Canis lupus familiaris: one gene and its partners. The protein of the gene in region 6 purifies or fractionates together with the protein of the main gene of each other region. This does not show direct contact. Links are inferred from orthologs where the notes say so. Each region holds a gene or a part of one and is shown on either strand. Other genes may lie near its edges. The genes, in order: AP2M1, ARHGEF2, PPP6R3, PPP6R1, PPP6C, ANKRD28 and PPP6R2.

Evidence for each region.
Region 1: the proteins of ANKRD28 (region 6) and AP2M1 purify together in Homo sapiens (affinity purification with mass spectrometry; 3 studies listed by BioGRID and IntAct, counting the BioPlex papers as one, with this or other methods). This does not show direct contact. The link is inferred for Canis lupus familiaris from reciprocal best matches to the Homo sapiens genes ANKRD28 and AP2M1.
Region 2: the proteins of ANKRD28 (region 6) and ARHGEF2 purify together in Homo sapiens (affinity purification with mass spectrometry; 3 studies listed by BioGRID and IntAct, with this or other methods). This does not show direct contact. The link is inferred for Canis lupus familiaris from reciprocal best matches to the Homo sapiens genes ANKRD28 and ARHGEF2.
Region 3: the proteins of ANKRD28 (region 6) and PPP6R3 purify together in Homo sapiens (co-immunoprecipitation; 3 studies listed by BioGRID and IntAct, with this or other methods). This does not show direct contact. The link is inferred for Canis lupus familiaris from reciprocal best matches to the Homo sapiens genes ANKRD28 and PPP6R3.
Region 4: the proteins of ANKRD28 (region 6) and PPP6R1 purify together in Homo sapiens (co-immunoprecipitation; 4 studies listed by BioGRID and IntAct, with this or other methods). This does not show direct contact. The link is inferred for Canis lupus familiaris from reciprocal best matches to the Homo sapiens genes ANKRD28 and PPP6R1.
Region 5: the proteins of ANKRD28 (region 6) and PPP6C purify together in Homo sapiens (affinity purification with mass spectrometry; 9 studies listed by BioGRID and IntAct, with this or other methods). This does not show direct contact. The link is inferred for Canis lupus familiaris from reciprocal best matches to the Homo sapiens genes ANKRD28 and PPP6C.
Region 7: the proteins of ANKRD28 (region 6) and PPP6R2 purify together in Homo sapiens (co-immunoprecipitation; 4 studies listed by BioGRID and IntAct, counting the BioPlex papers as one, with this or other methods). This does not show direct contact. The link is inferred for Canis lupus familiaris from reciprocal best matches to the Homo sapiens genes ANKRD28 and PPP6R2.

The regions. Positions count from the first base shown.
Region 1 is NC_049255.1:17,241,356-17,246,028, reverse strand, and holds the start of AP2M1 (AP-2 complex subunit mu), read right to left. Parts: upstream 3,195-4,673; 5' UTR 3,076-3,194; intron 1,033-3,075; 5' UTR 990-1,032; coding exon 916-989; intron 1-915.
Region 2 is NC_049228.1:41,826,735-41,830,736, reverse strand, and holds part of ARHGEF2 (rho guanine nucleotide exchange factor 2), read right to left. Parts: intron 2,517-4,002; coding exon 2,440-2,516; intron 1,892-2,439; coding exon 1,722-1,891; intron 513-1,721; coding exon 445-512; intron 1-444. UniProt on the Homo sapiens protein: Activates Rho-GTPases by promoting the exchange of GDP for GTP.
Region 3 is NC_049239.1:49,801,355-49,805,356, forward strand, and holds part of PPP6R3 (serine/threonine-protein phosphatase 6 regulatory subunit 3), read right to left. Parts: intron 2,465-4,002; coding exon 2,311-2,464; intron 892-2,310; coding exon 785-891; intron 1-784.
Region 4 is NC_049222.1:103,182,441-103,186,442, forward strand, and holds part of PPP6R1 (serine/threonine-protein phosphatase 6 regulatory subunit 1), read left to right. Parts: intron 1-483; coding exon 484-596; intron 597-701; coding exon 702-815; intron 816-1,409; coding exon 1,410-1,572; intron 1,573-1,657; coding exon 1,658-1,810; intron 1,811-1,960; coding exon 1,961-2,095; intron 2,096-2,460; coding exon 2,461-2,525; intron 2,526-2,614; coding exon 2,615-2,730; intron 2,731-2,826; coding exon 2,827-2,912; intron 2,913-3,018; coding exon 3,019-3,108; intron 3,109-3,179; coding exon 3,180-3,277; intron 3,278-4,002. UniProt on the Homo sapiens protein: Regulatory subunit of protein phosphatase 6 (PP6). May function as a scaffolding PP6 subunit. Involved in the PP6-mediated dephosphorylation of NFKBIE opposing its degradation in response to TNF-alpha.
Region 5 is NC_049230.1:57,968,897-57,973,477, reverse strand, and holds the start of PPP6C (serine/threonine-protein phosphatase 6 catalytic subunit), read right to left. Parts: upstream 3,035-4,581; 5' UTR 2,851-3,034; coding exon 2,776-2,850; intron 2,392-2,775; exon of another isoform or gene 2,164-2,391; intron 1-2,163.
Region 6 is NC_049244.1:27,505,182-27,509,183, reverse strand, and holds part of ANKRD28 (serine/threonine-protein phosphatase 6 regulatory ankyrin repeat subunit A), read right to left. Parts: intron 1,189-4,002; coding exon 1,101-1,188; intron 858-1,100; coding exon 740-857; intron 177-739; coding exon 1-176. UniProt on the Homo sapiens protein: Regulatory subunit of protein phosphatase 6 (PP6) that may be involved in the recognition of phosphoprotein substrates. Involved in the PP6-mediated dephosphorylation of NFKBIE opposing its degradation in response to TNF-alpha.
Region 7 is NC_049231.1:17,754,917-17,758,918, forward strand, and holds part of PPP6R2 (serine/threonine-protein phosphatase 6 regulatory subunit 2), read right to left. Parts: intron 3,308-4,002; coding exon 3,192-3,307; intron 1,782-3,191; coding exon 1,696-1,781; intron 1,368-1,695; coding exon 1,287-1,367; intron 938-1,286; coding exon 840-937; intron 369-839; coding exon 311-368; intron 149-310; coding exon 24-148; intron 1-23. UniProt on the Homo sapiens protein: Regulatory subunit of protein phosphatase 6 (PP6). May function as a scaffolding PP6 subunit. Involved in the PP6-mediated dephosphorylation of NFKBIE opposing its degradation in response to TNF-alpha.

The DNA of each region.
Region 1 (4,673 bases), on a different chromosome or scaffold from region 6:
AAAGGCCAGGCCAGCCCACTAGCCAGGGAGCTGGGAGCCAAGAAGCTATTGGGCTCTGCAGCAGGCCCATCCTATAACTCTTTAACCTAAGCTCTTGGAGGAAGAAAAACAGGGCAGCATGAACCAGAGATGCCTAATCTCATTAGAGCTGCTGAGGCTAGGACATGTCCTCTCATTCAGGAAAGAATAGTGGCATGCAGTGTGGGGCAGAGTGAGAAGGCAGGCTGTGTCTCTTTGCTAAGGTCTGAGGGACCTAGAACAAGGAGCTATTCCGGGTCTACTCTGGTAGGCCAGGAAGGGCAGCATGGCCTCCCTGCCCTTCCTTCAGTGACCCGGAGAGTGCCCCAAGCTTGCTCACAACCTCTCTTCTAGGAGTGGCCCAGAGGAACTGAAAACAGCTGAGTCAGCAGCCTGCCTCCTCCTGAGAAAGGGAGTAGGAGAGGATTTGGCAGCCTGGAGAAGCTTTCAAGAGAATTCAGTGAAGGCTCTCACCGTGAGAAGGGCTTTTGAGAGCAAGACTTAGATGGACTAGTACCACTAGCCTGTCCACTAACTTCACCCCCTGGAGAAAGATCTCCCTCCTCCTCAAGGGAGGAATTCATCTACCAGGGCAAAAGCACTCATTTCTAGCAACTAGGTCTGTCACTAAGGAAAGGAGAAGGCAGGAAGGACAAGAGTTCCTAAGACTGTGGGGGGCCACACCATTCCACAGGTCCCACCTATTGGCCAATAACTGGCTGCCAGGCCAATACCACCAGACCTAATGGGAACCAGATTGTATTAGCTGAGCTTCTAAGATGCAGCGAGGGATGGGGGTGGCCAAAGTCCAGTCTCTGGTAGGAACGGACCTGGTCCTGCATGCTGGGGAGGAGGGATGAGGGGTGGGGACACAGCTGGCTCAGCCAGGGGACTCACCCGATGTCATCTCGGTAGACCCGGGAGATGAGCACCTCCCCCTTGTGATTATAGATGAATAAGCCTCCAATCATGGCGGCAGCTCAGTCTCCAAGGCCCATCGCTCTGAGAACAGACCTAGGACAGGCGGAGGCAGGGTAAGGGAAGGCCTCAGAACCTCTGCCAACATCCCCTGTGGGGCTGTGCAGGTCACTGGCTGGGCTTTTTTTCCTGACTCAACCCTCCAGTAAGTGACCCTGAAGCCCTCCCCAGGCATGCCCCTCCCCTTAGCCAGGCTCCAGTTCCTGTTTATCTCACACTGGAAAGGAGAAAGAAATGGAGAGGGACTTGGGCCCAGGATTCTAAGGCCATTTTGACCCTCCCTTTCCTGGGGCTGAGCCCAGAGTGTAGCCCCCTCCCCCTCTTTTCAGTGCTGAGCTCAGCACAGATCCTTTTTGGCCCCTTCCTGTGCAGACTCTCACTCAGACTCTAGCCGGTGAGTCACTGGGAAGGCCTGCCTGCGGCTGCAGGAATGGCGGTAGGAATTATTCCACTTGGTTCAGGCCTGGGGCCCCCAGGCACGGCTTTAGGAGCACCCGGTCTCTCAGGCTCCACTAACCCTTCGGAGAAGACAGCAGGGCCTGAACCTGTGGCTCTCTAATTCACAGAAGTCTAAACATTCCAGGAAAGGGTGTGCAGGGTGTGGGGAGGAGACAAGGGAGGCCTTAGGCCCTGACACAGACCCTGGAGTGTGGCTCCAACCAATCCCAGGCAGTCAGATAAGCAGGCAAAAGAGCAGAGGAGAAAGGGCCCAGCCTTGGCCGACTACACTTCAATGACCCAAGCTGCTTATTAGTTATTTTTAACCACCTCCCTTTCAAAAAGGGAGGATCCCTCTCAGTTCCCAAGTGCAGTAAAAATAAGGGGGTGGGAGTACAGGTTTATAAAACACAAAGATCAATCCAGCTGACATTCTATGATTCCAGAACCATGACATAACTCATTTCTGGCCTGAGTACCTATAAGGAAGGGGCAGAGAATAGGTGTGCATTATCCAAATTATTTGGGTCAAAATATTTGCAAGGAGAAAAAGGGTTAATTTAATTCTAGATTTCCTGAATTAGCTCTGGTATTGATTTTACAGGGCAGAGGGAGTTTAGCAGACTTTTCTAAACTGGAAAATAAAGCCCTATTACTGAGGCCATCAGGGTCTCCCCAACTCAGTGAGAGGTCTCTCAAGGTGGTGGTGGACACATTCCACCCCAGAGTCCCAAAAAAGGCTGGGAAAGGAAATGAAAAATGGGAGGTAGAGCCCCGGGCAAAGAAGCAAGTTCACAGATATCAAGTGGTAGGGGCCGCAGGGCACCGAAGGAGCGGAGGTGGGGCCCAGGGCAGGAGGGGAATACTGAGCTAAGGGGAAGGACGGGCAGAAGGAGCCAGGCGGTCTAGTCAGGTGAACCTGCAGCAGCAAGAGGGCTGGGGCTGGGGGCTGGGGGGCGGGGGGGGGGACGGGGACATCTGGAGGAAGGAGTTTCCAGTGTGGCAAAGGTCAAGACTTTGAAACAGCAGGGAGGAGACTGACAAGTGGCGAATAGGGGAAAGCTGGGGCGGCGTTAACTTGCTTTAGGGTTCAAGTGTGGAGGCATGACGGGGGGTGGGCTCTTCGTCTAGGGGAGCAAGACATCGCGGGGATGAACATGGCTCCACGGGGCTGCGGGGGCTGTCACAGGTCTGAGGAAGAAGAGCCGAGGGGTGTCACTCAACTGGGGGGAGGGGGTGCGGCTGGTGGGAGGCCTGTCACAGCCCAGGGAGACGGCCCGAGGGGGTGTCACCGTCGAGGAGATGGGGGAATTGTCCTTGCGCTGGGAGGAGGCGGCGCCAAGGCACCAGGGGGGCTGTCACGATCCCGAGGAAGGGGGCGCCGCGCGGCATCCTGGCTCCGGGGGGACCCCAGGAGGTCTCCCTGTCACGGAAGGCGCCGGACTGCCGGTGGAGGGCGCCGCTCCCTGCCCACCCTGCAACCGCGCCCCGGGCGCCCCCGCCCCGCCGTCAGCTCCAGATCAGAAGGCTGAGGCCCCTCCCGGCTGTGGGCAGCTTTTCGCGCAGCGCAGTGCAGGGAAGGGCAAAGCTGGGTAGCGGGGTACGCGTTCTCCCTTACTCTCCGCCGGATTCCGAGCTTACCTGGCGTCCGCGGCCGCCTGCTCGGCCCGCCCGGCCACTCTCCAGATCCCAAGATGTCCGCCCGCCCCCTGCTCGCCAGCCCGCTGCCTCGGCTTTCACCGCAGTGCCGTGGCCCCGCCCCGAACACAGTTGCGCGTGCGCGTCCGGCGACCGAGCCGACTACAAATCCCGTCAGGCCCTTCGGCCTTCTAGCTTACAATTTTAGCCTTTCTAGGTTTAGGAAGACTACAACTACCGACTGCCTTCAGCGGGTTAGGCGTGCCTTGGGGAGGGATAGGCGTGGCCACATCCCATCATACTCCGCTCCACTCGCTTCATTTTCCCTACCGAGCATTCTGGGAATTGTAGTCTGCAATCCATCCTGTTCAGCGTCTAGGAGAGCTTCGGAGGATTAATGCCATTTGTTGAAGCCCATCTGTTAAGCTTGAGATTGCTGTAGGCCTTTTCCGTCTCTGGAGTCCGAACACTGGCTGTGCTCACTTTACACACACACACACACGACTTGGCAGAAGTGTTTGCACTAAATTTACTGCTTTCTAACACCAGCTCTGATTTTCCCAAGACTTTTCATCAAATATTTGTTCCAGATGTGAGCCTCTTCCCAGGGATCAAGACCCAAGTAAAAGGGCAAAGATGGAGGAGGCAAATACTTGTAAGAAACTAGCCAAAGCTTTTCAAGAATGTCTGTTCTATCCCAACTACACATACCTATGTGACCCCTTGAGGCCAGGACCTGTGTGCCTTCTAGTGATGGCATATATGTTGCTTAAAAAACTGCTGGCAAGTTTAGCTGGACATGGAACTTGAAATCCCTTCTCTAATGAACAGAGTTAATCTTCACACCCAAGCTGAGAAGAAAAGACAGAGCAAACCCTCAGATATGAAAGCCCTGCTTGACTTTTACAGGACCCGAAGAAAATGTTAGCTCTTCTCTTTCTGTACGGAGAGCTTCCCTTATGCCTTCACTGGTGCTGAGCCCATCATGGGAGGAAGGGCAAAAAAGGGCAAACCTGGTTACAAACCCTACTGTCCCAGCATCCTCCTGCTAGAAGCCAGAATGTGGCAGGATGAAGATCTGGCCTTCCTCAAACAGTGGTCACCATGTGAATCCATTAAGTGACTGAATACAGGCATTTCTAAATCTTGAACCGGCACTCAGATCTTCACTGCTACCTTTCCAAAAGCTTTATCTTCAATCAATAATACCCTACCAATTTAGAATAAATAATAATAGTAGTAGTAGTAATAATAATAGCTACCATTTATTGAGCACCTATTCTACTCTGTGCCAGGCACTGTGCTAGGCACTTTTCGTACAAGTCTAATTTAAATCCTCACAACAACCCTGTGAGGTAGGTATTATTATCATCATTTTACATATGAGGGAATTGAGGCTCAGAGAGATTAAGTAACTCTCTTATCACGAAACCAAAAAGTAGTAGAGCTGGGATTCAAGCCCAGAACAACCTGACTCCAAATCCCGTGCTCCTATGAATTAGGGTAGAGGCGGGGGGAGAAGAAGGACCATATTCAAGAAAGACTGTTGAAGTGGAATGGATATGATATGCTGACTAGTAAGAGTTGGGGAAGAATTTAAG
Region 2 (4,002 bases), on a different chromosome or scaffold from region 6:
CACACACACACACACACACCACATGTGACACAGACCTATCCCCATTATTTTTACACCAGAGTTAGCATATACTCTACATTGTTTTAAACCTTGCTCTTTTTACTCAACAATACATTCTGGTTATGGATCTGCATTAGCCCTCATGAGCTTTCTAAACAGTTCCACAGGGGAATCCCTGGGTGGCTCAGTGGTTTAGCACCTGCCTTTGGCCCAGGGCGTGATCCTGGAGTCCCGGGATCGAGTCCCACATCGGGCTTCTCCCTGAGTGGAGCCTGCTTCTCCCTCTGCCTGTGTCTCTGCCTCTCTCTCTGTGTCTTTCATGAATAAATAAATAAAATCTTTAATAAATAAATAAATAAATAAACAAACAAACAAACAGTTCCACAGTATTCCATCTCGTGGGTGTATTATAAATTACTTAACCAGCTCTGGGGGTGGACTCACTCTTGATTCGGCGCAGGTAAGCCTCGTCCTCTGTCTCAATCAGGGGGAAGTCCTCTCTGGATGGGCATCTAGAGGGGTAACAAGTAGGGTGGGGTTGAGGGATCAGGAATCAGCCTCCTTCCCCCAAACACGCTCTGTGCTTCCCTATAAGACTCTCTAGCCCCATGCCCTGACTTCACTCCTGACCCCTATCATATTCTAGTGGACTATGCACCCTTCCATGGGCCACCTGCAGGGGTAGCACCGTGCAGATGGGCACTACAGGCTTTGGCGTGAAGCAGACTGGCCCAAATCCTGGTCCTGCCATTTACCAGGTGGCAGCTTGTCTATTTCTCATCTGAAAAATGGGTATGACATTTTTTCTCTTCACTGTTTTTTTTTTGTTAGAATTAAATAAAGAAATGTAACAATGCTTCAAGCATGGCAGAAGCTCAATAAATCGATGACAAAGAATATGAATTATGATTTTCACAATTACAAATATTAATACTGTTCAGAGAGGCCACCATGGATCCATTGTCAATGGAACAGGTATTTTGCACTGTTTTCCTACAACAGGCAATGTCATACTTTTGTATGAATTTCTGAAAAATCTGTCCAAAAGTCTAAGTTGCAGAAATATAAAAAAGTTTACACATTACAGAGTGGAGAAAATCCATTTCTAAAAGCTAAAAAAAATTACAAATATCCTGACTGAGTTCATTTTTTTTTTTGCATAATCTTCAAAAATCCATTTTGAATGTTTTACATGCGTTTTTTTCCGTTGTTTTTTGTTTGTTTGTTTGTTTTTTTAATCACAAGAGACACATAGTCAATGGCCTCAAAGCTTATGCACATCCCACAGAAGCTCAAAGTCCACTGCCTTGGCAGACTGAACAGTTTACTTCTTGTCTCAACTGGGTGAGGTTTGGCTCTAGTGTCAATGCCTCATTCCCTCTTTCATCCATTTTTAGAAAATAAAGGTAAAATGCAATACAATCCAAATAATAGCCCACTGCCTCCAGACTGAGATGTTTCTGTGCCTGATACTGTCCTGTTGGCTGGCAGGTGTGCCCCCATGTGACAGCTCAGGGTACCCCTCTGCTTGCCAGCTCAGGCTCCTGAAAGATGCTCGGGGTTGTCACGGTATGTCTGACCATCCAGGATACGATGGCCCTTGCCTCAGGACACTGTGCTTCTCTCCCCCAGCCTCTGCCTCCTGCTCCGAACCCCAGGCTCTTTCCCCGGAGCCTGCTGTGGCCTGGCTGCAGACTCCCTGAGGCCATACACACACTCACACGCGCACACTCTGCTGAATGACCCGGATCCAGGTGCTCCGGTCATCCCGAGATGCGGTGTGGACCTCATACATCTCAGGGGGCGCCGCACTGATCAGAAACATCCCTTTCTCCTGGTTGGCGATGTCCCGTACAATCAGATTCTGCAGTGATACCACTGAGGGCTTGTCCTGCAAGTCAGAATGGAAGGACTCAGCCTGGGAACCTGACCCTGGGATCTCAGGGTCTTCAGTCTTGCCAGAGTACCTGAAGGACTGAAGAGCCAGCCAGCAATATAAATTTAGAGTCCCTGGTTTTGGTGTAGCCAGAGGGGACTTAGGAGTGCATGTGACCTCTGGTGGGTTAATTAACATTAAGGTTTACCAGGGAACTTGGCTGGTTGAGTTGGGGGAGCATGCGGCTACTTCAGGGTTGTGGGTTCAAGCCAAACATTGAATGTAGAGAGTACTAACAAAACAACAACAACAAAAAAAAAAAACCACATAAAAAAAAACCCTTTAAGGTTTCCTCTCCTCATCTATAAGGAGGGATCCTAAGAGGCCCTCCTCACAGTCATAATAACCTGTTAGCTACTTCTATTCCTTATGATATTATAGCAATGGTCACAATAGCCATTTGACTCTGGAGGATTCTAGGGTTCCTTCCAGCTTGGGGAGAAAAGCAAGAAGAGGCTGTGATGCTTGTCCATGCCAGGAAAGGAGAAGGAGGAAGATCTCACCAGGGCAGGAAAGATGTACTTCTGGTCCTTCTCCTGGAGAAATACCAGCACGTCTGTCATCAGGAGCATGAGCACATCTGGCCGAGGGGACAAGTGGGAGAATGGTCAGCAGCAGAGGTCTGGGCAGCTGCCCACCTCTTTCTCAGGGTCCAGGCGTAACCTGTCCGTTCATGGCTCCTGAGGAGCCCCTTCCCGGCCTCTCTTCTCTCCAGGTGCTTCCTCTTACCTCTGTGGCCTCCACCTGCCCATTCTTACAGCTCAGAAATGCCAGGGGAAAAGATCCGTGTGCTACCAGACCAAAGAGCTTCTCGGCTAGAGAAGCTGCAGAGGGACACCCATGCATCTGAAGGAAATCCTCTTTGCCCAGCGGATGCCAATTTCTTAACCTGGGGCCTACAGACCCCTAGTATGTCCACTGCTGGGCTTCAAGGGCTCTGCAAACCTTCTGAAGTTGCAGAAGCAATTTTACATATTATTGTAACGCACACATGCGCTTTTCTGGGTGAAAGGGTCCAGAATTTTCATGAGAGTAAAATGTATTCCCGCAGCGGGAGGAGCCACCCTTTCAATTCTGTGCCTAGCAACTGACATAAGAGCTTTTCGGCTGTCTGACCTAAAATCCCCTGGCCCCCTGCAATGCCAGGGCTCAGGAGGCAGGAGACAGGCAGGCTTATCCACCCCTCCTGTCTTCTCAGACCCCAGAGGCACCTTGGCTGTCTTCTGCACCCCCTTCCAGCCGCTCCAATCCTGAGTCCCACACTTTAACTTGACAAAGGTCAAGTCCCTAAAACTCAGATGGCACAGCCAAGAAAACACAGGCTCACCCTTTGCCCTTGGATATCTCACTCAACTGTGGGCACATAGAGGGGAGGGCTTTCACTAAATGCTTCAGAAATAAAGCTCTCCAGCCCTGCTATTTTTAACCCCCATGGTTTATATTCTTAGTTGCTGTGTGGGAGGAACAGAAAAGAGAAGGGGATGAAGGAAGGCGCCGGTAGGCACCGCCATCCCCCAGCCTGTAAAGGGGGATTTCACAACAGGGACACAGCGGTGGGGGGGGGGGGGGCAGGCTCAGTCCCGGGGTACAGGCCTGCTGTAGCCAGCACTCCTCACACCCAAAGCAGGCTATTCCCTGTGTCTCACTTTAGGGAGGAAAGCTGCAGCCAGGGTGGTCTGGGGACAGGGGCTGGGCAAGTGTGACTCCCCACACACACCCCCACTGCTCTTTTCTCTCATCTCCATGCTGCCTGTCCTTCTGTCCTGCCCATCCTTCTGTCTGTCCTGCCTGTCCTCTCTGTCCTCCTTGTCCTCCCTGTCCTTCTGTCTGTCCTGCCCATCCTCCCATCCTGTCTGTCCTTCTGTCCTGTCCATCCTCCTCATCCTCCCTGTCCTTCCATCTGTCCTGCTCATCCTTCCATGCTCCCGTCCTGCCTATCTGCCACTGGGCCCTCTCTGGCTGTCTTCCTGAAGCACCTGCCTAATCTGCAGCCCGGCTAGCTGCCCCTCTCTTGCCCCCCGGTCCTGGAGATTCTCTGTCTTCCTCATCAAAACTGATAGCTCTCT
Region 3 (4,002 bases), on a different chromosome or scaffold from region 6:
CAGGGCCTCTGCAAGGAATAACATGTGCAGTCTGAACAACGAGACAACCCACTGGATGTCCCTGACCATTTCAACTGTTCATAAAGGTGAAATGAAAAGAAATAGCCTAGGGCAGCCCCGGTGGCTCGGCGTTTTAGCGCTGCCTTTGGCCCAGGGCGTTATCCTGGAGACCCGGAATTGAGTCCCACATCGGGCTCCCTGCATGGAGCCTGCTTCTCCCTCTGCCTGTGTCTCTGCCTCTCTCTCTCTCTCTCTCATGAATAAATAAATAAGATCTTAAAAAAAAAAAAAAGAAAAGAAACAGCCTTATGCCTGAAACATGCTAAGACACACACGCATGCTCCAGCAAAGCAAATTCCAAAGGACAAAAGAACTTGGTACCAGCGAGGCTTGAAAACACTGACACGCCTAATTCTGATTTTATTCACACTGGGCATTGCAGGCAAAGATGTTCTTCTTTTCTGGGTCTGTTTCCATTTCTGTATATTGATAGGACTGAACAACTGACCACTTAGGTCCCTAATGCCTTCTAAAATCACCATGCCATGGTTCTGGAATGAATACACAATTTATCAGTTGCCCTGAGGACATCAGACCTACCACCTCAACTCCCTGAGCCCTTTGAGCCCTTGAGCCTAAGAATCAAGACTAGCTTTATAAACTGTTATGTAGACAAAAGCAACTCTTCAGATCTAGAAAACTAAGCATACAGTCAAAGCCTGAACAACAGTCAGGTGAAAGGCCAGCAGGCTGGGTCAGCTGGTGCCCTGCTCTCCACACCCACCTTCAGGCTGCGCAGCCAGCGTGCCAACGCTGGGAGTCAGAGGGCCCATCGGCTCAGTGCTGGTTTCCATTTCCACTGGAGAATTACTCCTTAAAGAATCTTTTGTACTTTTAGAAAAGAGAAAATTCAGATGTTAGCAGTGGCAAATAGCCCTCAGTTACCATGATTCATTCACAAAAACCCTTTCAAAGTTGTAGGCTCGCTGGGGTGACAGGAGCAGTCTGTCACAGACTCCAAGTACACAGAGATAGATCTAGGTGCAGAGGGCTGCTTGCAGAGCAGGTGAGCGCAGGCAGGTAAATATTCTGCTAAGTCAGTAGGATAGGAGCATGGGGATTTCGCAGAGGTTTGCAGACAGGTTCAAAACGCACCAGTCTCTCATCCTCCCCCTCGGTCCCAAGGGCTGGGACAACAGGGGCTGACACTGTGCACCATCAACTGTACCTGCTGTGATTTTTACAAAAATCCCTACTTACCTTGAGCCAAACTGCCTGAGGGCCTTAGTGATATTTAACAAGAAAACATGACCTGAGCACAAGGGGTAAAGGGCAGCAAGCTTCCAAGTAACCAGGGGGTCTTATCCTCTAGTTACAAAAGACAGAAAAAAAACAAGAGGTGGAAACCCGACTGTTCAGTGCTGGAGTGGAGTTAGTGAAATAACTTAAAATACTTTGGAGACATTTCCCACAACCTCACTTTTGCCCCTGACAATGGCTTCCTGCTATCCTTGAAACTGCTGTAAAGCCACACAGGTGTCAGCCAGCCCCCTGACTGTTGAAGATGGTAACCGTGAGCTTGTGATAGTTCACGCTCCCATCTTGCCTATTACCAGTGATTAGTTAAAAAACACACTTTTTTGCTCTCCATGACAGCACGGAGAGCAACAAAGTCTTTTAAATGTGTAGTTGAGACAAAACAATGTTTAGCAAATCAAACTAAGCCTAGTAAGACATGAAATCCATGGTTAATATTCAAATGCTGGCAATATTATTCAGGAAAATTATGAAAAGATAGGTTGCTGTCAACAAAAATACTACAAATAACAAGACTGACAGCCATCCTATCACGCCCTGTAATTTACAGCACCAGATTAGCTACAAGTGAAATGCAAGCTCAGAGTATCTGTTAAATTCAAGATACACTGTGCATTCTTCTGTAACACTCCACACAGAGGTGCCTGTCAGGAGCTCTCGCTCTATCCTGTTTCTATCCTCCTCAATCCTGTTTGTTTTCTGATGGTCTGCACCCTACTATATAACCTCCTGGGGCCCTATCTTCCTGGGCTACTATGTGTACACAGCCCACTGCCTTTCCCAGCTCACCTGGATAAAAGGAATATAGAGACTAGTTTCCTTGTTAATCCATAACTGTGTCGCTAGCTCCCCTGTGCTGATTTGTGACTTAGCGTAGAGCATTATCTTCATGTAGGGAGTAAATCAAGGTGAGAGACAATGTCTGCAGCTGACCCCGTCCCCTTTCCCAGTTCTCCTATGGAAGGTTCAGGGAGCGAGCACACACACACTCACCTCAGGGAAGATGTGAACTCTGAGAAGGAGGCCCAGCCCGTCTCCTTAGTTGGCACCGGCTCCTCTGTGCTCCAGACATCAGAACCCACGGAATCTAAGGGAGCACCATGAGTTGTCTCCATGGGGACATCAAAGTTGGCTGACCAGTTGGGTGCTAAAAAGAGAGCAGAAATCTCATTTTGAGAATACTTCAGAAGTTCAGTGCAATCCAAGATATTTTTCAGAAACATTTGCAAGGAGGCAGCCAGAGTGGTGGGGACAGGGCACTCTAACACACCCCTGATAGAGGTGGAAACAGCAGAATCAGTGTCAGGCAATGTGATAACATCTATCTTATTATAAAACTGTAGACTTCCTTTAATCCCTAATTCCCATTTCTAAGATTTTTTTCTCCACCAGAAATATCACACGAGGATGCAAAGATACATATAAAAGAATATTATAATTTTTCTTTTTTTTTTGAGAATATTAGAATTTCTTACTTTGGACAAAGGTACCAAGATTATATGAACACCAGGAGGAAGATGGGCGAAGGAAGGGTACACAGCCCCAACTCCCTGTATAATCTCTGCAACTTTTCTGTAAATCCAAAGTTATTCCAAAAAAAAATTTTTTTAAGCAGAATGTTGTATATTCAACTGTAATAAACTGGAAACTTTAAATGCATCTCAATCCAGATGTGGCCCCACTTCATACTTTTAATGGCCTTCCCACAGTCCACTGTAGCTAACACAAAGAGGAAGACTTCTGGTGACACAAGAAAAAATACATATTTGTGTTCAGCTCACCACCACCTCCAAACCCTTGGAATCTCTGAAGTAGTGTCTTGTATGCTAAAGAGATGACTGGTGGCCTCAAGATGGGGCTCAATACTGGGCAGGCTGCCAGGAGAACTAGCCTGGGGTTAGAGGGCTAGAACTTTTATCCCTATCCCATAGCCCACCCTCCTAGGAGGGAAGAGGGGCCAGAAGTGGAGAAAATCACTAATGGCCAGTTATTTGATCAAAAGTACCCATTTAATGAAGATTCCATAAAAAACTCAAAATTTCAGGGGTTTAGAGCTTCTGGGCTAGTAAACAGCAGGTGGCACACCCCAAACTCCATGAGAACAGAAGATCCTATGCTCAGGACCCTTCCTGACCATATCCCTACTTCTCCTTTCATCTGGCTGTTCACCTCTATCCATCAAAACAGCCTCATGGCACGAACTGCTGACCAAGGTTGGATCTAACCTGTAGGTCTGTTTTAACGTCACTTCCTCGGGGATGTGTCCTTTCAGGTGAAATTGGGTCTGTTTATGTGCTCTCACTGCACACCATGCTAGGCTACACAGAAATGACCTTCCCAGGGGAGCGCCCCAGAATCTACCACAATCTCTCCATTCTTCAGGAGACTCTAGACTCTAGATGGAGTCTGTGTTCCACATCTGGCACATAGCTGGATCTCGATAAAGGCATGTGGACTCGAACTGAATTAATAGAGAAAAGCCCACTTTTTCCTCCTGAAGATGGTGAGCTGGGAAAGCAATGAGGAGAGAGGCCAAACCTCTTTTCCTCCATGGCTCTCGCTTTCCAGGTCTGTCCCATGGGGCTGTGCTGGGTTAATATTAAGGTCCTGGCCAACTCTGCAGTAGTGAGGTCCACTTGATGCCCAGAGCTAGCTTTTAGCCTCCAGGACTAAGGACACAAAGGC
Region 4 (4,002 bases), on a different chromosome or scaffold from region 6:
CCTTACTCCACGAAGGAAAGCCTGTGCTCCTTAGCTGCCCCTTCCCCTCATGGGCCCACCACTCCCAGGGTGCATTTTGCCTTGGGGTTTGCCTCTGCTGGACTTGTTATTGTGAATGCAATCACATGGTGCCTGGTCTTGCTGTGTGGCCCCTGCGTCAGCACCGGGTGTTCCGTGTGTATCCATGCAGTGGAGTGCTGGTGCATGGACGAGTCACAGTAGCTTGTGTGCTCACCAGTTGGTAGACCTCGTGGTTGTTCCCTCCTTTGGCTACAGCAAATGGTGTGGAAACTTTCCTGGTTTCCCAGGTTCTCACCGTCTTCTTTCCTGATATTTGATGCCTTGTGTTCCTTGCCTTGGCACTTGTGTCTCCCTGTCTGTGTGATCCTCCACTCCTCTTCCTAAGGGTGGGGCGGTCAGCTCCAGGACATGAAGGGCACAGGTGCTGGGCTGGCATCCTCAGCTCTCTCTTTGCCTCCCCAGCAACATTCCAATGCATCCCAATCCCTGTGCGACATCATCCGCCTGAGCCGGGAGCAGATGATCCAGGTCCAAGACAGCCTAGAGCCCGACCAGCTGTTGACCACCCTGGAGAAGTGGGTTTGTGGTTCCAAGGCCTAGGGCGGGAAGATGTCCGGGGCCCTTCACCATGACCCCCACCCCGACCCCACCCTCATCCCCTGTCCCGACCCCTGCTCCAGGCAGGAGACGATTGAACAGCTCCTGAGCAACATGCTGGAGGGAGAGCAGAGCCAGTCTGTCATTGTGAGCGGGATCCAGGTGCTCCTGACCCTGCTGGAACCCCGAAGGCCAAGGTGAGGGGGCCCTGCCTCCCCAGGCAGCTATTGCCATCCCCCAGAGACCCTCTCCTTCTTTTTAGGGGTGAAGGTGTGGGGACTTGTCATCTACAAGCAGCATCCCCTTCTTGGTGGCCACTTAGGGTCTTTTTTTAAAGAATCTGGTTTTTTTTTTTTTTTTTTTTTTTTTTTTTTTTGTATTTTTAAAATATTTTATTTATTTATGAGAGAGAGAGAGAGGGGCAGAGACACAAGTAGAGGGAGAAGCAGGCTGTCCGCAGGAGCCCGATGTCCGATGTGGGACTCAATCCTGGACTCTGGGATCACACCCCAAGTCGGGCAGACGCTCAACCGCTGGGCCACCCAGGCATCCCACCACTTAGGGTCTTGGGAGAGGAGTTCTCAGTTCCTGTCTGAGGCCATGTAAACCACCTGTAGCTTTGAGCTGACTGGCCGAGTCCAGGGCCCTATAGGCCCATGATCCCTGGGCATCCCCCCCCCTCCCCCCGTGCACGCTGTACTTCCACAGGAAGCAGCTTGTCTCTCCCTTCCACATGTGCCATACATATGCATATGCGTGCACACAGGCCCTGCATCCTGTCCCCCCTGCAGGTCCGAGTCTGTGACCGTGAACAACTTCTTTAGCAGTGTGGATGGGCAGCTGGAGCTTCTGGCCCAGGCGACCCTGGATAGCAGCATGTCCAGTGTGGGCGCCCTGCACGCCCTGCGCCCACGGCTCAGCCGTTTCCACCAGCTTCTGCTTGAGCCCCCTGAGGTAGGCTGGGAGTCCAAGGATGTAGGGTGGCAGGGAGGGCAGCCCCACGGTTCTAGGTGGCACTGAGCCTCCCATGTGCCTGTAGCTGGAGCCACTGCGTACTACCTGGGGCAACCTGGCCCCGCCTCTGGGCAATACTCGGCTGCATGTGGTCAAGCTGCTGGCCAGCGCTCTGAGCGCCAACGACCCAGCCCTGACGCAGGAGCTCCTGGCACTGGATGTGCCCAACACCATGCTGGTGCGGAGAAGGGGGTGGGGTGGGGTGGGGTGGGGTGGAGGGCCCGGGCAGGGTGGGGAAGGGCGGGATGGGGATGAGGGGGTGGAGGGGGCCCTGGGCAGGGGTGGATGAGGGGCCTTTCCATGCCAGCCTCCACTGCCCGCCCCCCAGGACCTCTTCTTCCACTACATGTTCAACAACTTCCTGCATGCCCAAGTGGAGTTCTGTGTGAGTGCCATGCTCAGTGCTGGGCCTCCTTCCGACAGCAGCCTTGAGATGCCTGTCCCAAATCCCGTTGTGAAACATGTAAGCTGGGGTTCCCGGGTACCCCACTCTGTTCCTGTGGGTCACCCACTGTATCCCTCTGCCTTCTCTAGGTGGCCTCACATGCTGGGGGCCAGGGGCTCAGCCTTGTCCTTAGGTCTGTCTGGGAGAAATGGAGGATGATGTGCAGGCGGGTGCAGACGGGAGCCCTCAGGGGGCAGCAGTGTCCTCTGGGGTGACAGATGCTACTCTAGGGGAGGTACTTCCTGGGTTATAGCCTAGGGCCTTGGACATGGCCCCCACCCCCCCTCCCACTCCTCTGTAAATCCCCCTGGGTGCTGGGAGGGGCACGTCCTGGCCCTGCCCCCATGTCCCCGGTGCCCCCACTGTCTCCACTGCCCTCACAGCTCCTGCAGCAGTGCCGCCTGGTGGAGCGCATCCTGACATCCTGGGAAGAGAACGACCTTGTGCAGTGAGCGGCCCCTGGACTTCTTGCCCTTGGGGAGGGCGGGGCGGGGGCGCATGGGCCCATGTCCAGCTGCGGCCTCCGATCTTGCCCAGGTCTACCGGGGGCCCCCGCAAAGGCTACATGGGCCACCTGACGAGACTGGCCAACGCCCTGGTGCAGAACACGGAGAAGGGGCCCAATGCTGAGCAGCTGGGGCAGCTGCTGAAGGGTGAGGGTCCGGGAGGGTGTCGCCCCAGGGCTGGGGGCAGGGCTGCTGGCTGTAGTGGCGGGGGGCCTCACGTCCTGTCTCTTTTGCGCTGAACAGAACTGCCGGGTGAGCAGCAGGAGCGGTGGGAGGCCTTTGTGGCCGGACCCCTGGCCGAGACGAACAAGAAGAACATGGTGGACCTGGTAAGGCACCGCAGCTCTCTGCCGCGGTTCTGTTCTCCACCTGCACCTCCCTGAGGCTGCACCCTGCCATCCTGGCCCTCACCCCTTGCCTGCCCCCATGCCCCAGGTGAGCACGCACCACCTGCACTCCTCCAGCGATGATGAGGACGACCGGCTCAAGGAGTTCAACTTCCCCGAGGAGGCAGTACTGCAGCAGGTGGGCTGGGGGCCAGGGGCCTGCCCCTTTCTGCCTGGCCCCACCCATCCCTGACCACTGCTCCTCCACAGGCCTTCATGGACTTCCAGATGCAGCGCATGACCTCAGCCTTCATCGACCACTTTGGCTTCAATGATGAGGAGTTTGGGGAGCAGGAAGAAAGCGTGAAGTGAGTGTGCTCTTCTGTAGGCGAGCAGGGGTGAGAACACAGCAGGTGGGAGCACGAGTACTCGCTGGCCGTGTGGCACTTTCTGCCAGGCTTCCTGCGTCCTCCTTGGTCCCACCAGTCCTGGCACTTGGGCTCAGCATGGGGAGCGACCAGCTGGGGCTCCTCTGTCCCCTCCTTGGGGAGTCAGCTGCGTGTGTAGCTGGTGGGATGACCCCTTGATGCCAGAGCAGCCCCCAGCCCTCCACCAGGCCCTGTGCTTACAGGAGAACTTGAGCTTTCGGTGACTTCTACAGCTGCTTTGTTGAGCAATAGCAATTTAACTTGGTGTTGCAGTCATCAACTTTCTTCTTTAGTTACCAAGTTTTCTACCACAGGCATCTGTTCTTTTTGTAGTCAGAAAAAAAAAATAAGAGTTTTCTACCGTTTTGCAAATTGATGAGCAAGTTTATGGCAGCAAAGCTGGAGGGGAGCTCGGGTCGGGGTGGGAGCGAGGTTGGCCAGGAGGTGGTCTGGGAGGGAGCCCATCCTCTGTAAGGTCCCTGGAGGAAGTGCCATTGGAGTAGAAGGGGTGACTTTGAGGAAGGAGTTGGTAATGCCTTGAGGGAAAGTAGAGGGACCACTGGAGGGCGGGCAGGGGGTAGCCAAGGGGTGGGGTCCAGGGACAGGCAGGAGGAGCCTCAGCTGCCCCTTGGGGTCCCCATCTGCTTCATCCCCTGTGCGTTGGG
Region 5 (4,581 bases), on a different chromosome or scaffold from region 6:
CAGTAAACCTGCTTTTTATCACCTGACCAGATATGAAATTTCTATCTCCCAAGATCCTCTCTGAAATCTTTATTGTGGATGAGAACCACCTGAGCTTTTTTTTATTTTTTAGAATTTATTTATTCACGAGAGACACAGAGAGAGGCAGAGACATAGGCAGAGGGAGGAGAAGCAGGCTCCACGAAGGGAACCCGATGTGGGACTCGATCCTGAGACTCCAGGATCACACCCTGGGCTGAAGGCAGACACTCAACCACTGAGCCACTCAGGCGTCCCTGAGTTTTTTTTTTTTTTTTTTTTTTTTTTTTTAAGGAAGGTTATGCTTTGGCCTACTCACTTTCATGTATTTCAACTTTATTCCTACAAAAGTTATGCAGATTCAATGACGTACTAATGATTCGACCACTTCCAATCTAGATATAGAGAAATTGTAATTAAATATAAAACACCCGATGTACTTATTATTTTATTTAGTACCTCCAATTTTTAGTCAAATTAAAAACACAGGCAAATTGCTGTATTCTTTTCTACCAGAACAAATCTTTTCCATCATGACCATTAAGTGGCCCCAATTATTTTTCTTCCTCTGACAGAATCTTTTATTTTGGCTCTAAAGCCTCAGAAAAGGTGCTCCTGGAATACTTTCTTGGCTTATCTAATTTTAGTTTCTATTTCATGCCAAGAAGTAGAAATAAAATTAAATTTGTTTAAAAATATACCAGACATGAACAGCACAACTAAATTAATCTGATAAAACCATTTCCAAGACAAAGAAGAGCCTTCACTTACAGAGAAAAATTCAGAATCCTTTTTTCCCATTAATTGTCCAGAAGATGGGGGGTGGGGAGTTATTAAGAAACAGAAATACATAAGTACAGTCCAATAGTGTTGCAAAGGGAAATGAAATGGTTTAATAACTATATTTCCTTAAGGTGGGAAGGAAATTCAAAGTTTATCAAGCTACAAGATCTAAAGAAAATCCAACTAATTATCTTCCAAATCATTTCAATAGCCAATCTCAAGTTAATATCAAGACATACTATAATAATCAACATTTTATTAATTAAAAACACAAAGCCTAAAAACAGCTTTACATGTACTAAAAAACAGAAAATTCTACATCAAATCACTGATACAAGAAAATCAATGTGATACATGGAATTAACAATGCTACCAAAGGACAGGTGGTTAGTTTTCCATGAATTAGGTCCCAGTGTTGGTTATATCCTCATTTCCTCAAAAAAGCATAGAACGGAAGGAAGCCACAAAACTAATGTGGACTCAGATGAGCATAAATAAAAGCTACGTTGCTAGTACTGGCTTTGTCCTTTTTTTTTTTTTTTTTTTTTAATTTATTTATGATAGGCACACAGTGAGAGAGAGAGGCAGAGACACAGGCAGAGGGAGAAGCAGGCTCCATGCACTGGGAGCCCGACATGGGATTTGATCCCGGGTCCCCAGGATCGTGCCCTGGGCCAAAGGCAGGCGCCAAACCGCTGCGCCACCCAGGGATCCCCTGGCTTTGTCCTTATTTTAATCAAAGTATCGTATTAAAAAGGGAGAAATGCACAAGAATGACTCCCCTATCACATAGCACCTATAATTAACATGTAAGTACAATTAAGTCACATCCATGAGAGCTGATGTGACCTTAAACATTTTGCATATACCTGTTGACTGATGTCAAATATCAACTTCTGTGTGAACAGAACAAAATAAATCTCTTCCTTAAAACAATTTGCAAAGATAAATCGCTGTAAATCCACAGATGAAAGGGGGCAAAACCAAAAAAAAAAAAAAGAACTCAAAACTACCAACAGTTTACCCACTTAACACAGAGTAAATCAAAGTTAACTGAAAAAGCGAAACAGGCACTAGCACTAACCTCTGAACACTGTCACACACCTAAGCACTGTGCATACAAACACTTCTCAGAAAAGGAGTATACACGTTCCCTTTCTCTTACGTCCATTCCTTTACTCACACATGCATCTGCTGTAACTTGGCCTAGGCAGAAGCAAGGAACAACTCGTCCTGTCCTTTGGGAAACGAAGAAAAGGAAACCTTCGGTTAATAAGAGATTATGAGCAAACAACTTAAGGGGGCAGAAAAGTACGGAGGGCCTACTACTTTTTCCACTGAAACTGGATCAACAACGGACAGGAAAACCGGTTCACATCTGAATTAACCCCAAGTCAAGCAACACTCCTGACGAGCACCTGGGACAAGGGGTACGGAAAGAGGGACGACCTGACGTTCTCTGACGTCACTGCCAGGCAGCTCTGGCCCACCGCCGTCTTCGCCTTCCGCAGGGACCTAAACACACCGGGGCCGGTATCTCCTGTCAGGCGCCCGCCACCCCGCGCTCCTGTCACCACCTCTGGGGGCTGACCCCATTCCGACAGTACTGTCCGTGAGGGCTCGGTCGGGCTCCGAGAAACCGGCGTCAGGGTGACGGGAGAGAAGTCCTCCTAGCAGAGCTGTCAGGGCTCGGAGCCCTGGGGTAGCCCGAGGCCAGGAGGCGCAACCCTTGGGCAGAGGCCGCGCACCCCCGGGGATCCCCACCGAGGGCACCAGGACAGCACTCGGGGCACTCGGGCTCCCCGCTCGCCGCGTGACGCCCGGTCGGATCCGGTCACTTGGCCCCTCGTTAGGCGACCGCCGCGACGGGATGCCGGCGGGGGTCCCGCGGAGAGAGGAAGGGCCGGCCGGCGGGCGCCCCACTGCCGGAAGGGGCGAGCCCGCAAGCAGCGCTCCCGCCCCGGCCGGGCTCACCTTCAGGTCGTTCTCCGGTAGGTACTTGCACAACCGCGCTATCTCCACATACTTGTCCAAGTCTAGGGGCGCCATTTTAGAAATAACAAGCCCCGACGGCGGCAGCGGCAGCGGCTGAGGCTCTAGTAGCGGCGGCGGCGGCAGCGGCGGAGGCCGAAGCCGGAACTCTTCTTACGTCACGTCCGGTCCGTGAGAGGCGTCTGCGCAGCGGCGTCAAACTTGACCCGCTTCTCCCCGCTGCCTCTCCTTGCCCCACGCTCTCTCCCGCGGAACCCCGGCTGCAAGTCCCTAGAGACGTCCCTGGTCCGGACAGTGAAACCTGCGGGGACCCGTAGTTTTCTGCCGCGGGGAGTACTGGGATTTGTAGTTTTCAGTAGTGGCCAGCTACCCCACTTTTTCTCTCCCCCTCGCCCCCCTTCGTTTAGACCTTCACTTCTGTGGGCCCAGCGAACCTTTTCCGATGCAAAAAGACAAAGTAGGTGACCGAAGCCATTCCTTGGTTTCTCACTTCGACCCTTTTAAGCATTCTCTCACCAGAACATCTTCATTTAACAATTGGTAAGCCTGGCCGTAGTTAACCTGTTTGCATCTTTTCAAGTCCTTGTGAAAACCTTGCCTATGCTTGTGGCAGAGACATCAGGTACCAGTCTTTCAGCATGGAAGGGAAGGGAAACAATGATTAAGGATTTCTTATGCTAAATGCCATATAAATGCTGTTTTTTTCCGTTTAATCCTCATAACAGTTGATAAGAAAGCAAGGTTCAGAAAGCTTAAGCAACTTGCCCCAAAACTCACAGGAGCTAGGTAGGGGAGTAGAGACTGGTCTACCTGGTTTAAACATGCTTCAGTGTGAGTCTCATGAGGACAGGGAGTCTTTTGTTCTACCCTTAGTGCAAAAAACCCAGGACCTGGCACTTAGTGTAACTTCAACATTCATTGAACAGCTATTTCTTGAACACCAATTGTATGCCAGGTACAGTTGTAGGCATTTAGGATATTTATTTTTTATTTTTTATTTTTTAAATTTTTTTTTTATTTTATTTATTTATGATAGGCACACAGTGAGAGAGACAGGCAGAGACACAGGCAGAGGAAGAAGCAGGCTCCGTGCACCAGGAGCCTGACGTGGGATTCGATCCTGGGTCTCCAGGATCACGCCCTGGGCCAAAGGCAGGCGCTAAACCGCTGCGCCACCCAGGGATCCCCATTTAGGATATTTAGCAAGCAAAATAGACAAAGATCCCTATCCTCAATTGGTAACTACATTCTAGAAGAGGAGCAGAACATAATAAATAACTGTATTTATTAGGAAATGATAAGTGCTAGAGAGAAGGAAAAAAGCAGCAGTGTAAGGGAGATGGGGTGATGCATTTCTAAGAACCAACAGAGAGGTAGAGGAGTTAGCCATTCAGATGCTTCAGGGCAATTACATATGGAGGCATATCTAGATGGAATTTTGTTGGGAGGTTCTAGCAGGGGAGTGCAGCTACTGGTATACCCTTGACCGAAGAACAGTCCTCCTCTACCAGGGATGGTCGTCCTCTTCCACCGAGCGCACAGCTTCTCGGGAGGGACACATATGGAGCGGTGAGGGAGGAAGGGGACACCCGCCTAGCCAGCCAGATCAGCTGAATCAACCCTGGCGATCAATGGGGTGACAGATGTCGCAGCCAGATGGCCCTCACATCCTCTAGATGGAATTTTGGAAATGACAAGATTAGTGTGGTTGAGTAAGAGGAAAGGACATGAAATTTTACTTTTAATCTAATAGGAAGCTACTGCAGGGTTTTGAGCAGAGGAGTAATA
Region 6 (4,002 bases):
GCTATGGCTGGATTTGCATCCACAGATGCTGCTGACTGCAAAAGGGCTCCAAGAACACCAATATGTCCGCAGGCAGCTGACAAGTGTATAGGTGTCCGGCCCCTGCTATCTCGAAATAAGCACTTAGCACCATGTTGAAGTAATGCATCTACACATTCTTCATGGCCTGTAACTGCCTGAAAGAAAAAGCATTTGCAAGTAGTTGAATATATTATCTTGGGTACTATCTGCCAATTTTAGCTAATTAAAAAAAAATTTAAGCCTGTATTCCTCATATTTGTCCGTCGAAGTATTTATCATTTTTTGAATAATTCAGTATTTTTATTGGAATTGGCTTAAAAACCCATGAGCAGTAACTTTGTCAAAATACAAGTATTATGAAAAACAGGAATAAAGAACTTATAAATCTGTGAAAATAAAAAAGAAAAAGGTGAAAGGTTTCAAAGGTGAAAGGCAAAAATGTATAAGAAAACAAAAAACAAAAAAAAAGAAAACAGTTGTGATACTGAGAAAAAGTAAAACTGACATTAATTCTACTCAAGGTCTTACTTAGGGTTTTCAAATTTTGTTCCAACAGTACTGTTTCCTGGATTAAGTTGTGTTTCAGTAGTTTAAAATTATTATTCAAAAACTATTTGGTAAAAATCTGATGAAGAAACATAAACATAGCCTAGTTCAGTTTTAGGCAAAATGAGATCCTAAGAAATTTTTGAAAGGCAATGAGAATATTTTTACTTACCCCTCTATGCAATGCTGTCCTTCCCCATTTATCTTTGGCATCTACATTTGCTCCTTTGTTCAGCAATGAGTAAACACAGTCTGTGTGCCCATTGAGAACAGAGAGCATCAAAGGAGTCCTGAGCAACAACAGAATAGGTTCAGTGTTACTACCTAAGACTCCACTTTATGAAAAACAAACAGTTGTGCTGGCCCGTTTTCTAAACATGCCTTTTTGTAATGCAACTTTAAAGTATACTTAAATGGGAAAACTAAACTTGCTATTATTCAGTTACATACCATAAGAGACTTACTAGAATAGAGGCAAAAGTATGAAGATTAACACACATCTTAAAATTAATTTAAAAATTATTAAAACTTACTGTCCGTTTCCATCTTGAATGTCTACTGCATTCTGTGGTTCTGCATTTCCTATAAGTAGCCTCAAGCACTCTGAATGACCATTTGTTGCTGAAAAGTGATATTTTAATATTTCAGAAATTACAATGGTAAAATAGAAAATTTCCATCTTAGGGCACATTTTCTAGATATAACTGTGGGATAGTTTCATTGAATTTAATAGTCAAAGAAAAAATACATACATACAAAGGTTTCTATTGCCTTTGTTGGTGAAACTGAATAGATATAAATTCCTCATGGTAAATTACGGCCATCTGCCCTGCTAATAGAATGCTCATTTTATTTGGCTTTCTGGGGGTGGCAGAGTGATCAAGGGAAGGTGGCCTGCCTTCAGCCAAGGGATGAAACTGTGATTAGATAAGTCCATCACAATTCTGTTCTTTGCCAGTGACTGGTTTTAAGATGAGTGCTGGTCCAGTTCTGGCCACTGAGATGCTAAGAAGTTTGAGGGCTTGTGGGAAATATGTTTATCCCCGATAATGACCAATCCTTCTCATTCTGTGCCATGACTGAAAAGGCAAAAGAACAGAGTGTTCTGACACCATTGCTTAATCAATCAATCGTGGAGCTGACTCTACCTCTGAACATCTTATGTGAGAGGGTAAACACTTGTCATTTAAGCTACCTTTTAGTTGGGTACTATGAAAGAATCTCAACTGATAACATGTATAATAAGAAGAAATGATCTACCTAAAGATGGCATTTATATGTCCAAACACATAAAAAATGGGCAAAGGTATAAAACAGAAGTAGCCTAAAGAAAACAGTAAGCTTTTAAGGTAAGTTAATCCCCTGCAAAATTCAGATCCTTCCCATAATACAATAAAATTTGAAGTTTAAAGTAGTAAGTCACATAATGATGAAGAAAGGAATATCTATCACTGTTCTTCCTAATTAAAAGAAGACAAAATAATGAAAGCAAGCTAGGTGCCCTAATATGCCACAGTACCTTCTAACAGCTATATTTAATTCTAATAGTTATTAATTAAAACAAAATCACTCCTATATATATGCTAAACTTTGCCAGCAGCTCTCATAGTGATCAGTAACAGCTGTCACTGAAGCATCTCACTTGGGGATGCATGAAGGAAACTGTTTGTCCCGGCACTTCTTAATGGACCCATGTGTACTCAGTACATAGTAGCTCCTGAGGAGTTTTGTGTTTTCTAAACTCAATACCTAAAACATCATGTCTAATGCCAATATAGGAGAAAACTTTTTTTCCCTTTTGGAAAAAAAAAATCGCAATGTCCTCTTCATGACTTATGAATAAAGTGCTCCATAACAATCTCCAAATTTAAAAGGTATCTATAAAACCAGGTTTGCATTTATTATATAGGTGGGCATCAATAATAACCTGTAGCAGCTAGCTTTTCCAGCAGATGAGATGTACAGACTATCTGACATTGGTCAGCCACTGAGGGACTGGCTAGCGTCTTTTTTTTTTTTTTTTTTTTTTTATTTATTTATGATAAGCACACAGTGAGAGAGAGAGAGAGGCAGAGACACAGGCAGAGGGAGAAGCAGGCTCCATGCACCAGGAGCCTGACGTGGGATTCGATCCCGGGTCTCCAGGATCGCGCCCTGGGCCAAAGGCAGGCGCTAAACCACTGCGCCACCCAGGGATCCCTGGCTAGCGTCTTGATTCAATACTGACCAATTAAGTGTGCACCACTCCATGAAAGCTTTATAAATCACCTCTGCAAATGATCTGTGGTTACAACATAATTTTTCAAGTTGCAGAATGATATATAAACTTCATTTTTTTCAGAATAAGATAATAGAAAATGATTGCATTTTGACATAATTCTGAACATATAGTAGTTTTTTGGTTGTTTTGCTTTTTGAAAGATTTTATTTATTTATTCATAAGAGACACAGAGAGAGGCAGAGACATAGGCAGAGGGAGAAGCAGGCTCCCTACAGGGAGCCCGATGCAGGACTTGATCCCAGGATCCTAACCTGAGCCAAAGGCAGAGGCTCAACCACTGAGCCACCTATGTGTCCCAACATATAGCAGTTTATATATACACATTTACTAGGAATTTTAATCCATTTAAAAATTTTTTGGTTTTGAGTCCTGCTTGAATATCTAATAGTTTCTGAAAGGCTACTTTGGAGCAACAGCTGGTGTTACCTTTAGGAAAATGCAAGTTTCCTAAAGGAATAGAAGTCCAAGACCCATATTAAAATATGTCCTTAAAAATCACTCTATTAAAACAGACCAAGTGAAATGAATGTAATCATATAAAAGAGGCCTACTGGGTGTGAAAAAAAATACTTAGCTAGGATTTCTTCCAGTATACCACAGTCTTAGATATTTAAGATAAATACTGATTTGCTAATTCTCGTATAGAGTTGTGAAACTGAAATACAGCAGTACCAAGTCATATAATGACATGGTTACATAATTTTGCATTTTCACATATTTACAACATCACAAAATCATATGGTAGAATAGATCTTGCATAAAGTAGGTGCTCTGTAACTCCTGTCTGACTACATGTTTAACATAGCACTCTGGTGGGGATCCCTGGGTGGCGCAGCGGTTTAGCGCCTGCCTTTGGCCCAGGGCGCGATCCTGGAGACCCGGGATCGAATCCCACGTCGGGCTCCCGGTGCATGGAGCCTGCTTCTCCCTCTGCCTATGTCTCTGCCTCTCTCTCTCTCTGTGTGACTATCATAAATAAATAAAAAAAATTAAAAAACAAAAAACAAACAAAAAAAAACATAGCACTCTGGTGCAATAAGCCAGCATGTTCACCAACTGTTCAATGAAAGCATGTACCAATCCAAAATAACTTCCATCAAAAAGAAGTAAAAAAATTTGCATTGTGTTGATAAAGTATTACAGAAGTCACACAA
Region 7 (4,002 bases), on a different chromosome or scaffold from region 6:
GGGGGACCGGGGGGGCCTCACACCTGGCTCTGGCCGTCACCCGGGCCATGCAATGCATCTCCTTGTCCTCCCAGATGTCATCTTCCTCGTCATCGTCAAAGGGCTGGATGTGGTCACTGCAGCAAGCCTCAAACAGAGCTGCACTGGGCTGCAAGCATGAGCACGCATGTGATCACACGCGGCTCCCAGCGGGGCTCAGCCAGGCAGGGGGCGCTCAGGACGGGGCCCAGGCATGAAGCAGCCCTGTATCTCGGGCTGCCCACCCACCCAGAGCTGGGGACTCACCACCCACCCAGAGCTGGGGACTCACACTGTCCTCATCAGCATCGATGCTGAAATTGATCTCTGCAATCCTGTCGAAGGGGGCACTGCAATACACGGGGGGCACTCAGCACGTAGCCGCCAGGGCCTGCGACACCCCACGGACTGTTGTGCGTGCCCCCGGCTGCACCTCGCAGGGAAAAGAGCCAGGCCCACAGGGGTGGACGTGTCTGCAGGCGGCCACGTGGTGCAAGCAGACAGGGACCTTGATGGAGGGGGTGGCCCCTGCCCTCCTCCCTGGGCCCACTCTGTCCCTGGTCTGCACGGTGATGACTTGCCTTCCTGGAGGTGTCCCAGCTTGGCCCCTCCCACAGTGACTCTGAGTCACACTTGCTTTCAGCTCAGGAAGTGGCCAAATGGCCTCCAGGCCCAGGCAGGACAGGGCCACACCGAGGACTCAGCTCCTCCCAAAATGGACAGGGGACAAGGTAGTGGGCAGTGATGACGGATCCAAATGGGGCTCCCGACCAAGGTGGGCAGCTGGGACACGGTGCCCCGGGCACATCCTGGGAGCTCACTTGACACTGTCATCCTGGTCGGCAAACTCCTCGTCATTGAAGCCAAACTGGTCCACGAAGGTGGCCGTCATCTGCTGGACCTGGTACTCCGAGAAAGCCTGGCAGGGGTGGCGCAGGGCAGGCCTCAGACCGAGGCCGCTCCCAGGGAAGCAGCAGTGCCTCGCGGCTTCTCCCAACCTAACCTCTCGGGGGAACACGAACGCAGGGTCGTGTCCAAACAGCCTCGTGTGTCTCACGATCATCCACTGGGTGGCTCGGGCCCCCCCTCGTTCAAGGGGCTGCACACCTGGCCCCTCCCCTGCTGGAGCCTGGTGCGTGGGGACCAGCACGTTCCCCTGGGCTGCTTCCTGCTGCAGCTCAGCAAGGCGCTGGGCAGGACGGCCTGGAGCCTGAGTGCCGCCGAGGGCGGGAAAGGGCTGCCTGAGTGTGCAGAGCGGCCACACGCACCTGCTGCAGGGACAGCTCATTAGGGAAAGCGCCCTCCATGTCCTCATCCTCACTCGAGGGGTGAAGGTGGTGGGTGCTTACCTGAAACAGCCAGAGCGGGTGGATGTGAGCCCCGTAGCCTGGGGGCTCCTACCCCCGCCCCTCCCCGCGGTGTAGCACACACTGGGCCTGGGGCACCAGGAGCCCCAGGACGCAGCAGGGCGCCTGAGGGGTCAGGGGAGGGGCTGACACCCGCTCTGCTGAGGCGGTAGGGGCCCCAGGACCTGGAGCCGGACGCGGAACCAGGGACCCACTGCACCTGGCTGGGCCACAGGGGTGCACACGCACACACGCACGCTCCACAAGCACCCAGGAGGGCGTGGCCCCAGCGCCAGCCAACACCGAGCAGCAGCACAGCCGAGCCCCTCACCAGGTCCACAGCGTTCCTGCGATTGGTCTCCGCCAGGGTCTCCTCCACAAAGTTCTCCCAGCGCCCTCGGCAGTCCGCGGGGAGCCCTGCAAGGGAGCAGTGCTGGGGAGCCAGGGGACGGCAGCAGGGTGCACAGGGCGGCTGCTGGAAGGGCGGCCAGGGGTCCCGCAGGGGCGCTCGCAGGGCGGGGCCCAACCTCAGCACCGGGGGCTGCAGCCTGGCCGCATCCTCCGCCCTCCCCAGCCCTCTCAGTACATCCCATGCACCTGTGTTCTAGAAAGTTCACAGCTGAGTGACGTGACACCAGGATAGAGAGCTGCTGGCTCACCTCCCGCACCCCAAACTGTCCCTCCGTGGGGAGCCTCCTCGGGCCAGACACTAGCCTGGAGGCCATGGACCGAGCACAGCCCCTTGCTCCCATCCTGGACGGCCACCCAGAGCTTCTGGCCAGAGGGACCACAGCAAGGACTCTCTTGGGGGCGGGGGGGCAGGCAGCCAGTGAGCCAAGACCACAGGTCTACACCTGCTGCACAACCAGCCTGGAGGCTTCCAGTGTGGCTTCCTCAGCTGCACAATGGGAGATGGGCTGAGCACCTGCCCGTGCCCTCTCCACGATCAGGGCACTGGGGCCCTGCACAACCATCTCCCCACACCCCTGGAGGGACCCCACCAGGCGGCTCAGCCTCTTGTGTGAACACCATTCACAGGGCACAAGATCCCACCCAGGGCTGAGGAGGACGGTCCTGATCGTGAAGCTGCTGTGAACACAGCCCCAGCGCCCTGGGGAGGTCCTGGCTTCTGCCCACCCTTCGCCTCCTCGGCTCACTCGTGCATCCCCCCATCTGCCCACTGCGAGCTCCGGGGCCTCTCCACCCCCCTGCTCAGGCTGGCCCAGGCATCGTCCACCCTGGCAGGGCCACTCGGGCCCTCCCAGCTGCCTGCCTTCCGGTCTAACCAAGACCCCCTTGGGCCCTCTTCAGCTCACAAGGCCCGGCACCCAAGGCCTGTAGACCTTGGCCAGGGCATGAGAGGGCCAGAAAGAGGGGTGAGTGTTGGCCCCAGGCTGGGAGGGTGGCAGGTGTCTCGGGCTGAGGGCAGAGGTGAGGCCCAACCAGAGGAGAGGCTGCCTCGGCTCAGGGCCCACAGCCCCCTCTTGGAGCACAGAGGCCACCTCCCCCGGCTCCCCAGACTTGGCTGGAAAGATCTGCAAAGCTGCTTGAGGCAGAGGGGGGTGGCGTCCAGGCAGGCCTCGGGGTCCCTGGGTAGAGCACAGTGCTGGCTCCGGAGCCACGAGCTGCCCCGCAGGCGCCTGACAGGGTCTCTGGGCACAAGGAGGACCAACCTCGTGACCCAGGCCCACCTGGGAAAGCATGTCCTGATACCACTTGCTGGGGGGGCTCAAGGGCAGAAGGTGGCAGTCAGGGGTCACAGGCAGCAGCAACACCCACCACAGGGCTCCTGCTGCCAGGAGGGCAACGAGGGCAGGGAGGGCTCACCTCGGATGACCTCGCTGATGTGGGTCTGCATGGGGCCCCTCTCTAGATTCTGCACCACTGCGTTGGCGATCCGGGTAAGGTGGCCCATGTTGCCGCGCCTCATGCCACCCGCTGCCCTGAAAGGGAGTGGCAGCATCAAGGGGACCACTGGGTTTTCCTCCTTTCCTCCCTACGCATCCCCAGGGCCTGACCTTTGCCCCCTGTGGGTCCTTCCTCGCAGCCTTACCTGCGGGCCCCTTCTGTTTGGAGAGCACCTGCTGTGTGCCAGCCAATCACTCCAACCTCACCAGGAAGTGCTAACGAGGCAGATGCCACCGCCCCCAGCAGCAGGGCACGTGGGGCCTCAGCGCCGTGCCCCTCGCCCCACACCCAGACACCCCTGAGCTGTCCGGCTCCAGAGGCCCTCCCAGCTTCGCCCAGGCTGGCTGACCCGAAGGAACACCCAGTGGGGCAGAGGACTTAGACGAAAATGCAGGACATCCCTGCTCTGTGCTGATGGGGGCTGACCGAGCACAACACGGGCAGGACACAGACGTGGGTGGGGCCGGGGCGGCTGGGAGCCAGCCAGTCACGGCCCCCGACTGAGCTCCGTGCACCCTGAGGCCCACAGCCTGGCTGCCATCCACGTTCCCATCGCACACAGCTTTGAGTCCAACGTCTCCCCAGTCACACCCCCGACCCAGCAGGAGGGCAGGTCTTAAACTCCTCCCTGGGTTAGGGAGACGTAAAATGCTCCCCCAGCTACAAAGGCAGCTCGTGGGCATACAGTGGGCAGAGCCACTTCCCACCACACCCTCTGTCAAGCCTGAGC